2 linked regions of the Drosophila melanogaster genome follow. The protein of the gene in region 1 interacts with the protein of each later gene in a pairwise test. Each region holds a gene or a part of one and is shown on either strand. Other genes may lie near its edges. The genes, in order: CG2218 and CG2120.

Region 1 (5,281 bases):
AGTTAGTAGGTCACCCACAGAAGCTTTGAATCCCTGCCGCCAGATTTCTATATCGCCCTGTAGCTCAACGATTTTACTGCTCTGTGGACTGTTTTCAAGCTGGTTCTTCTGGTTGCCGTGCTCCTGTATCTCCTCTGGCGCATCAAGAGCCTCTTGAGCATCATTCCTTTCCTTTTTATCCTTTTTTGCTGTTTTCTTCACTATTTCCCGTTCCTCGTCCTTAATTCCGTGGGCCGCAGCAAACTCTAGCTTCTTCTTGGACAAGCCTGTCCTGCTTTTGGACAATCCTATCCTGCGAGAGCTCAGCGATAAAGGCGGTGCCCGCGGAGTCTCCTGTTCACTACATTTTGGTGTATTTGCAGCGGAATCGTCTCTCTGAAGTCTTATTAAGGGCGTTGACTGGCAACCACGCCTACTCAATCCGAGTCGGGGTCTCCGTCCGGATTGAGGCGTGTTATTTGCCTCACCAGGCATTAAAAATTAGAAAAAACGTACTAACCAAAAGGATTTTGAAATATCGCAGAACAGATGTGTAATCAGCTGTTCTCTTCGATATCGATAACACGCGAAAGGAGTAGTACTAAGAGAGTGACAGTAGAGGGCGCCACAAAGGAATGTAGGTTACCATGAAGAGAATGTAAATTATTATGTAAAAAATAACAAATTAGATTTTTTTGATATATAACGTAAAAAATAATTCTTAAGTGAGAAATGTAAACATATTAAAAACCACTATTTTGTTTTATTTATATTTATTGAGAGTAGTGATAAAAAAATACACATTGCATAAAATTATGCACAATTATTTCCGATTCAAAATTAACAATAACCGGTACAAATAAAGCAATTACAACTAAAACTAATTTAAAATTTTAAGCTTTTCGACAATTTCAACTTAACAGAAACACATTTTGTTTAAACGAGTTTAAAAAACGCAATGAATGCCAAACTGTGGAATATATCGCTACTACTCTCCATTGATTACACATTGGACTTAGGTTTTATTGTACTTTATTCTAGGTAGAATTGGTATGAATATATAAACTCGCGCTGAACGATCCTGTCTTTCGGGGACTGTATATAAAGTGTCTACAAAAACTAGGCGCGCACTCTCTATTGCTAATCGGTAATCCGTAATCTGCTCTATGACTAAACGTGACCTGATACTGATACATACTGCCGAATCGGGAGGGACTCGCGCGTGTACACATTTGGCTTAACTGCGATTTTGCGATTCTGCGACCAGACCGACTCTGATATGACTATAAACTAACGTAGACGAGGCCTAGGGGCTAAAGCGATTGACTGGCTTACAAACTGAACCGGATGGGGAGAACCAAACTCATTGCGGCAATCGACGGAAGGCGGTCGATTGGGAGATGTACGGGGAAGCTCTTAAGGATCCAGCTTGTGGTAGCGCTCGACGTCGGCGCAGCGGAAGAATACTTTGCACACGCACTGCTGATCCTGCGAGAGGAGCACCAGGCACTCCCGGCAGACCAGATGTCGGCAGGTGCGGATTTCGTAGCCGAACTGCGCACTCCGGCAGTTGATGCAGCTGGCGGGCGGAGCACTTGAGGATCCCGAGCCTGCGCTGGAGTTCGATGGCAATTGGCTAAAGCGCGTCACCTTCTGCAGCGCCTGTTGAATGGCCTGATCGATGGAGGTTGTGGCCGAGGTCACCGTGGCACAGGCGCTACCGTGTTGGCTGTGCCTTGCTCTTTTGGCCGCCGGCGGCGAGTGCGGAGATCCGCCGAAGGATGCCGCCGATGAGGATGTGGCCGTGGCAGTGGCCCTGCTCTTCCGCTGCTGCTGCTTGTAGGCGTTGCTCAGTGCCGAATAGGTTCCGGCAGCCGGACTAATCTGTCCCGGCTGACAGGTGCTGCTGGCGAACTGCGAGGCGTGACGACGACGCTGGCGAGAGGTGCCCAGCGAACGGGGCACCGCCTTGAAGTGCTCCGAATTCTCCATGAGGAACTTCTCGATGCGCGCTTTTAGGGCCAGGTGGAGAATCGCCTTGCGTTGCGCATTGAACTCCAGGCCTGTAAACGGATCCGAGGGCTGGCGACCCCACTTGGCCTCCTCCTCGGCGTGCTTGTCGATGGTGGACTGGTCCACCACTTTTCCAGATGGCAGCACGGTGGGGAAGATCTGAAGAGGCAATGGGAGAATTGATAAGGAGAGCTACAAAGTAAACAGTTCACAGAGCATCCTATTATCTTTATATTTAAGTGTTGTTGCGTTTCGGACATTATAATGCAATTCTCATTATGAAGAAAATGAATTCTTTACATGACTTCCGATATTTACCTTGTTTGGTTTTGATAAAGACATGATAATTGATTCATAAAGATTATAAAGAATTATGAATAATAAAACCGTGCAAAACGATTGATTTCATGAATTGACATGGGTATGTATTCAGTTGTACTACTACTTAAACATAAAAAGCTAGGATTTTCTGATATTTACCATTAGCTCCCAGGTGATGGAGTCGAGGAACTCTTCAGGAATAGAGAGGGTCGACTGGTCCCTGAGCTCTGGAACATTCCGCGGTGGTGATCTCTGCCCGGTGGGCGTTTGGGCCGCGTCCCTCTGGCCGTAGGGATCGCTTATCTCGCTCCAGATGGTCTTGACCAGCTCGCGATCGGCTTTGTCCAGCGAACGAGCGGGCAGTCCCCACATCTGAACTTTCCTCAGCACTGGAGGACACCTTTCCGTGGCCCGGATCACCACCTTGACGCTGTTTGTGCTGGCAAGGATCTTGTGGGCGGACTTGAAGAAGAACACCTTCTCGCTCTGCTCCGAGTTGGAGCTGCTCCGTGAGTTGTAGTCGCTCTGGTAGCAGAAGGTCACCGAGTCCACGCCACGCCCCAGATCGCGTACGAAGGCAACCCTTTCCCAGATACCATCGTGTCGTCCATGCAGCTCGAAGGCAGTGGATCGTAGGGCTCCGCAGGAGGGCCACAGCTTGATGACCTTCATGTCCACCGCCTTGGGGAAGTCGAATACGATCTCTATGGGCGGCTTGCAGACGGCGAAGCACATGAATCCACGCTCCAGCTGCTCGACGTCGTCGGCCACCAGATTGGCCGCAGTGTAGCCATCCTCGCAGACGGCATCGGTCTCTACGGAGGGCTTAAGCTTTGGGTTGAGGAAGTTGATCAGACTGCTCATCCTGGCTGCCCACTGTGCTATACTCTCGGCTGCTGTTATGTGGCTCTTCACGGCGTATATCTACTCTGTGCCCCACCTGCTCTTTATTCGCAATGAAAATGGCGTCACTTCTCGGGAATCTTTTGTTGTTGCGTCTGCCTGCGGAGGCTGCTAATCCTGCCTGGTAATCCCCTGCTAATCCCGCACTGGGTGCGCTCCTGCTCTCAGCCGATCCTGAACACTCACAGCCTGGCCTGGACTTCGGCTGGCATCTCACAACGCTGCTTCAATTGCAATTATCGCCCTGCCTCTTCGAATATTTATAAATCACTCGCTTGTGCAGTGTGACCATGCCCGGGCGGTAGTGGTGGTGCGACCAGTCAGATGGACTTCGCTCAGTACTCGCGTACGGTAACACCTATTCGCTTGGGCGGCAAAAATTGAATGAGTTAAAATATTTGTTTCAACGTATAATGCAAGCCTTTTCGAAATCTGTTTCGTTTCGAATGAAACAATGAAAAACACGATTGCTATGGTTGAGTTATATTCATTTACATTTTGAAAAAGTGTATACTTAATTTGATTTCTTGTTCAATAAGCAAAAACGATCTCAAGAACTTTGTTTATCATTTATACTTAAATTAGCAAAGCAGATATGATAAGGTTCATCAGTTTACACTATAGGCTCTGGCTTCTTTGAATCATAAAGTATCTAGTTAAAAAGGGAAAGTTATATCGAAATATGTAATATGACTTATTAATTGCCTATTTGTGGTGAATGGTCAAAAATGGTAATTTTTGCGATATGATTATTTAGAAATCTGCCCCACCGGAGGCAGATTGTGGCCACTTCTCATGCCAAAAATATAATCATATAAAAGTTCTACTATTCGAGATTAGGCTAATCTCTGCCATGAATGCGTTTTCCGGCCTGGTTAATGGGGTGGCCATTGGCTGAGAGATAACCGAAAGCTATAAATGGCCCCACACGTGGAAACTATGCTCCAGTTGCTCTGCGAACCATGAAAGCAATCGGAATCCTGCTGGCGATCGCCTTGACCTCCGGGTTCCTGGTGGTCTCCGCCGTAAACTTGCCGGGAGTGCCCGTGGACTTCGACCTGGACGACCACATCCTGTCCGCCATTGCAGACGACATAGCCGAGCGTCTGGCCAGGGAGTACATCACCTTCCTGAAGACCGGAGTGGAGACGGCGGAGTTCTTGAAGCTCACCAATCAGCTGGCCAAGTCGCACAGTGAGAAGGATATATTCACCAGGAACATGCCCGATCTAGAGCCCAGGGATAGCTTCTTTGCGTGCGTGGCCTGTCGCTCGGTGACGCGGGTTTTGATTCGCACCATTCGCGAGGAGGACGGCGAGCTCCACGGGGAGAATAGCTCCGTTCTGATGAAGGAATTCGCTATGGACGTGTGCCGCCGCTTGAATCTGCAAACGGAGGAGGTCTGCGAGGGATTGATCGATTCCAACCTGCCCTCCGTGGAGTACATCATGAGGAACTCCGAGAGTGATTCCCAGAGCTTCTGCTCCTTGTTCATGGAGTTTAACTTCTGTAACACCGGTACAAATCAAGATTACAATTGGACCTTGACTATAGACAATACTGGAGAGGCTTCGGCTGGCCCCAAGTCGGACACTCCCACCTTTCAGGACTCGGACATCAGGATCTGCCAGTTCTCCGACATTCACCATGATCCCTACTACACCCCCGGCAGCCTGGCCACTTGTGCGGAACCCATGTGCTGTCAGAGGAACAAGGAGACCACCGAGGGTACGTCGGATGCAGCTGGATACTGGGGCGACTACCGGGACTGCGATCTGCCTTGGCACGCCTTCGAGTCAGCCTTGGACAACGCGGTGGCCAACTCCAAGTGCGACTTCATTTACCAGACTGGCGACATAGTGGACCACATGGTGTGGGCCACTTCCGTGGAGAAGAACACCATGGTGCTGACCAAGGTCAGTGAGCGGCTAAACGCGGCCTTCGGAGATGTACCCGTATATCCCTGCATCGGAAACCACGAGCCTCATCCACTCAACCTGTAAGTAGGGGATCCTTAAAATCTAAATTTTGATATTTATAAATTGCATGAATTGGGATTCCTAAT
Region 2 (3,983 bases), on another chromosome or scaffold:
GCCGTGGTCCAGCCCCGTGCCACCCATTCCAAACATCAACAAGGCGAAGAAAAAGCGCAATAACATTCTGGAGAAGTTTGACATGCGAATTGGCCGGGTTCCCAAGAACAGGGTGATGCCCAACTCGGGCGTAAATTGCAAGCCGGATATCAAGGAGCTTCCGCCGGATTCACTACGCTTGATGCGTAATCTTATTCGCAAGCTGTCCGATCGCGGCGGTTTCCTCATCGAGGAGCGTCTGCTAAAGATTCTTGAACCGTATTCCGAGGAGGAAAAATGCCTGGTACGCATCGACAATATATTTGCGGCGCTGCGAATTCGTCATCTGCGGGATGTCAAGGAACTGACCAAGGTTTTCATGCCGTACACCTACTGTCCGAATTGCCAGCCGCAGGGATTGAGTCCACGCAAGTGTGCCGAGGTGTTCATGAAGGATCAAAAGCCAAATCGGCTGCAGGGCGCGGCGGGTGGCCAACCGGATGAAAAGGAGCATAGGTCGACAGGGGATACATTTCTACCCAAGAGCGAGGTGGCGGCCAAGAGATGTCACAATCACTATCTGGTCATGGAACCGGCCCTCTGCCTGCACGCCATGAATCTGTTCACCTCCAAGATGCACAAAAAGATGTACGAACACGAACCGGGTAGCATTCTCAATGCGGTAAATCTCATTCAGATTACAGATGCGGAGATCCGTAATTTCTGGCGCCAGTTCTCGGCCTGCTTCCCGGCCTCCAAGTGCAAGCTGTGGAAGACACTGGAGCACGGACTGAATCACTACGTTGAGGTGCTCAAGATGCGTGTGCAGTACGATGCGGAAGTCGTCTTTCTGCGTCGCCAAAACGAAGAGTTGCGCCATCTGCTGCAAAAGTTCACCGTCTAGGTGCGATATTATTCAATTACAGCCTCAACCGCAATGCACATACATAATCCCAAGCAATTATTGTCCGATTTCACTGCAAACATGATAAATTATAATTGTGCCTAGGTCTTGCTCTTTGACATTGACATCGAAATAGTTTAGAGACGTGGGGTCCCTGCACGGGCGCCATCTGAAAAAGCTTGTTTCATTCAAGAGTCGTGCAATAAAAGTATATTTTGAACATGAAAACCTTGTGATTTTAAATATTTAAAATAATGGAACCCCTCAAAGTTAAATATTACTACGTCTATAGCTCAGTTTGTCCCGCTCTAAACTATGAACAGCTCTCTGATATCATTATTAGTGCCTAGCATGAAAAGAGCTCTTTGATAACATTTGTGAGGGGTTTCCCCTTGAGTCCTTAAATTAATCTTAATACCATATCTTTGAGATAAATATGACTTGTATTTGCTTCATAAACTTAAAGTACCCATCCATCCCCTTTAGAAATATTCCCAATGCCGTCCATGCCGCTCTCTGGTCCACCAAACTGTCGATCTCAGATGTTTGATTTGCTTTTCATTTCATTTCGAACTTTGAGTCCGTGGGAACTAGTTGGCGTTAGATGATCTCTACGACGGGGAATACCTTCGATCGCTTACCTCCCACAGCTACCATTTCACTACTGGAAGCCAAACGATTAGAACTTGTTGCACTTGTGTCTTATGTGTCTTATCAGGGCAAACCGATAAAGTTGAGCGGTAGACAAGAAAATGGTTATACTACATATATATGAAACCACATATTTAGGGTAGTCCACGAAAGGGATCGTCCAATTGGCTCAAAGTGCGCACCGCCAGCGTTTAAAGTGCAGACCGGGCTAATCATTCATTTATGGGCAAACTTTATGGACGACATTTCGATAAAATAATAATACAAGAGCAACCGCAACAGCTTGTTCTATTGAATTTCATGGCAAGCAACTACAACTGCGACCTGTAATAATATACTACATAATTAAACACGGCGTAATCTTATCGACGCTCGTTCGGACTCCATTGGCATTGCCGTCTATTTTCCTGCGGTAGCGGAAGTCTTGATCGTCAGTTGGCCAAACAACAGCAGTCCGAACGGAAGCGGAGGACCATCATGCGATCCATAGATCCCGTATCCCAAATGGCAAACGCCACTTTGGCGGACGACGATCTGGGTAACTATGACGTTTGCCTCGAGGATTTGCAACTGTTTGCCCAACTGGAGGATCTCTCCGGAGAAAGATTGCCAATGGAGATGGAGCTGCTGAATCCGGGCTCGGAATACGATCTATTGGAACTTGTGAATGGGGTGAGTTGACGGTCCAAATGGTAAATTGCACACTATTAATGAATCCATAATCAATCTCCTTCATTCAGGCTCTCCAGCAGCGAAACACCACGGAACATAAGCCAACAGACATGTGCAAGCCCAAGCGGACACCAACCACTAAACGCCACCGAACAACTGGCAAGGATCACACCTGCGACATATGCGACAGAAGATTCTCGGAAGCCTACAATCTGCGCATCCACAAGATGACGCACACGGACGAGAAGCCGCATGTGTGCGTGGAGTGCGGCAAGGGATTCCGGCAACTGAACAAGCTACGCATCCATGCAGTGACCCACACGGCGGAGCGGCCACACAAATGTGATATCTGCGGCAAGGGTTTCCGGTATGCCAACTACCTAACTGTCCATCGACGCTTGCATACGGGAGAGAAACCATATCCATGTTTGGCCACCGACTGTCATCTCTCCTTTCATTCCATCCACGCGCGGCGCATTCACACAAAGCTAAGGCATGCGGCACAAACGGATCCGGATCCCGAACATCCGCTGGCGGAGCAAGAGCAACGGGATACATCTGCGCTCAGCTTCACCTGCCCGGTTTGCAGCCGGGTCCTAACGGATCAGTGCTATCTTAGCATCCACCTGAAGCGGCACTACAATCAGCGCGACTTCCCATGCCCACAGCCGGAGTGCGGCAAGAGATTCTTTAGTGCCTCGGAGCTGAAGCACCACCAGATTGCCCACACCCAGCAGCGACCATTTGCCTGTCCACTCTGTCCAGCACGATTTCTGCGCAAATCCAATCATAAGCAACACCTCAAGGTGCACGAGCGTTGACAGCTCGAGAGCACTTTGATTATGTTAGTATACGGTACGATTTCCCTGTCCATTCGAATCGAATTCCAGGCGAATCCGAGACTCGCCCCACCCTAAGCTGCCCCCCGGAAGGGGGCTTGGTCTGCGCTTTCCATTCAATATAAGTGTTTATTTATATATACGATTCTGTTTGTCTTTATCTGCATGCTTGCATATTAGATATATGTATATATTTGTATTTATACTTTATAAAGTTACGGGTACGGGGTTGCTGGTTCTCTGTGGTTGTGTCCTCGGAGGACTGTTGACTGTTGCTGTTGCATGTTCGCCTGCATTGCTTTGTTTCGTTTAGGCATAACTTAAGGATTACATTACATTATTTGCGGGCTTAGCCGGAAATACGAAAACAATTGTTTGATTAAAAACAGTGATTAGAGCCAATTAACAAAACACAATCTCGTTCGCGGTCGTTTATTCGATTGATTGACAATCAGGACTAAGTGTCTTAGCACTAAACTGCACACGTGAGAAACTTAAAAGCAACAAAGGGGGCAAACAATAGACAAAACTTAAATTAAAGTTTCGCCGGAACCAGAGGACAAGTGCGCTAGGCAACACTGCCCGCCACGCACCATTCACTGCCCAACACTGGCCAGGCGGTACAGTTATTTTTGGTCGTAACAGCGAAGCAATGGGCAAAAAAAAACAAAAGAATTAAAAGAATCAGCAAATATTGACGTAAAAACAATTTGAACTTGAACTTAAACTGGATTTGGGCTCTTTAAACGTTAAGATAAGCTAGCGAATTTTGTTACATATATAGACTTAAGATCTAGACCCAAGAAAAACGTGCACTTGCCAAGCAAAATCCGGCCAGCAACGGCAAACCATATTGCATATTGGTTGGTTAAGCTATCGTTTCAAATACGATGCTGTAAAAGAATCAAGAATCTCTCATTTGGTACACAATAAATGCA

The links.
Region 2: the proteins of CG2218 (region 1) and CG2120 interact in a two-hybrid assay, tested with the Drosophila melanogaster proteins (one large-scale study listed by BioGRID).

What each region holds. Positions count from the first base shown.
Region 1 is NT_033777.3:30,424,664-30,429,944, forward strand, and holds CG2218 (uncharacterized protein), read right to left. Parts: upstream 3,614-5,281; 5' UTR 3,178-3,613; coding exon 2,473-3,177; intron 2,152-2,472; coding exon 1,396-2,151; 3' UTR 764-1,395; downstream 1-763. Other genes in the region: CG15536 (uncharacterized protein), read right to left, coding at 1-474; CG15533 (uncharacterized protein), read left to right, coding at 4,179-5,215.
Region 2 is NC_004354.4:8,133,861-8,137,843, forward strand, and holds CG2120 (uncharacterized protein), read left to right. Parts: upstream 1-1,963; 5' UTR 1,964-2,011; coding exon 2,012-2,206; intron 2,207-2,274; coding exon 2,275-3,027; 3' UTR 3,028-3,186; downstream 3,187-3,983. Other genes in the region: CG10958 (uncharacterized protein), read left to right, coding at 1-883.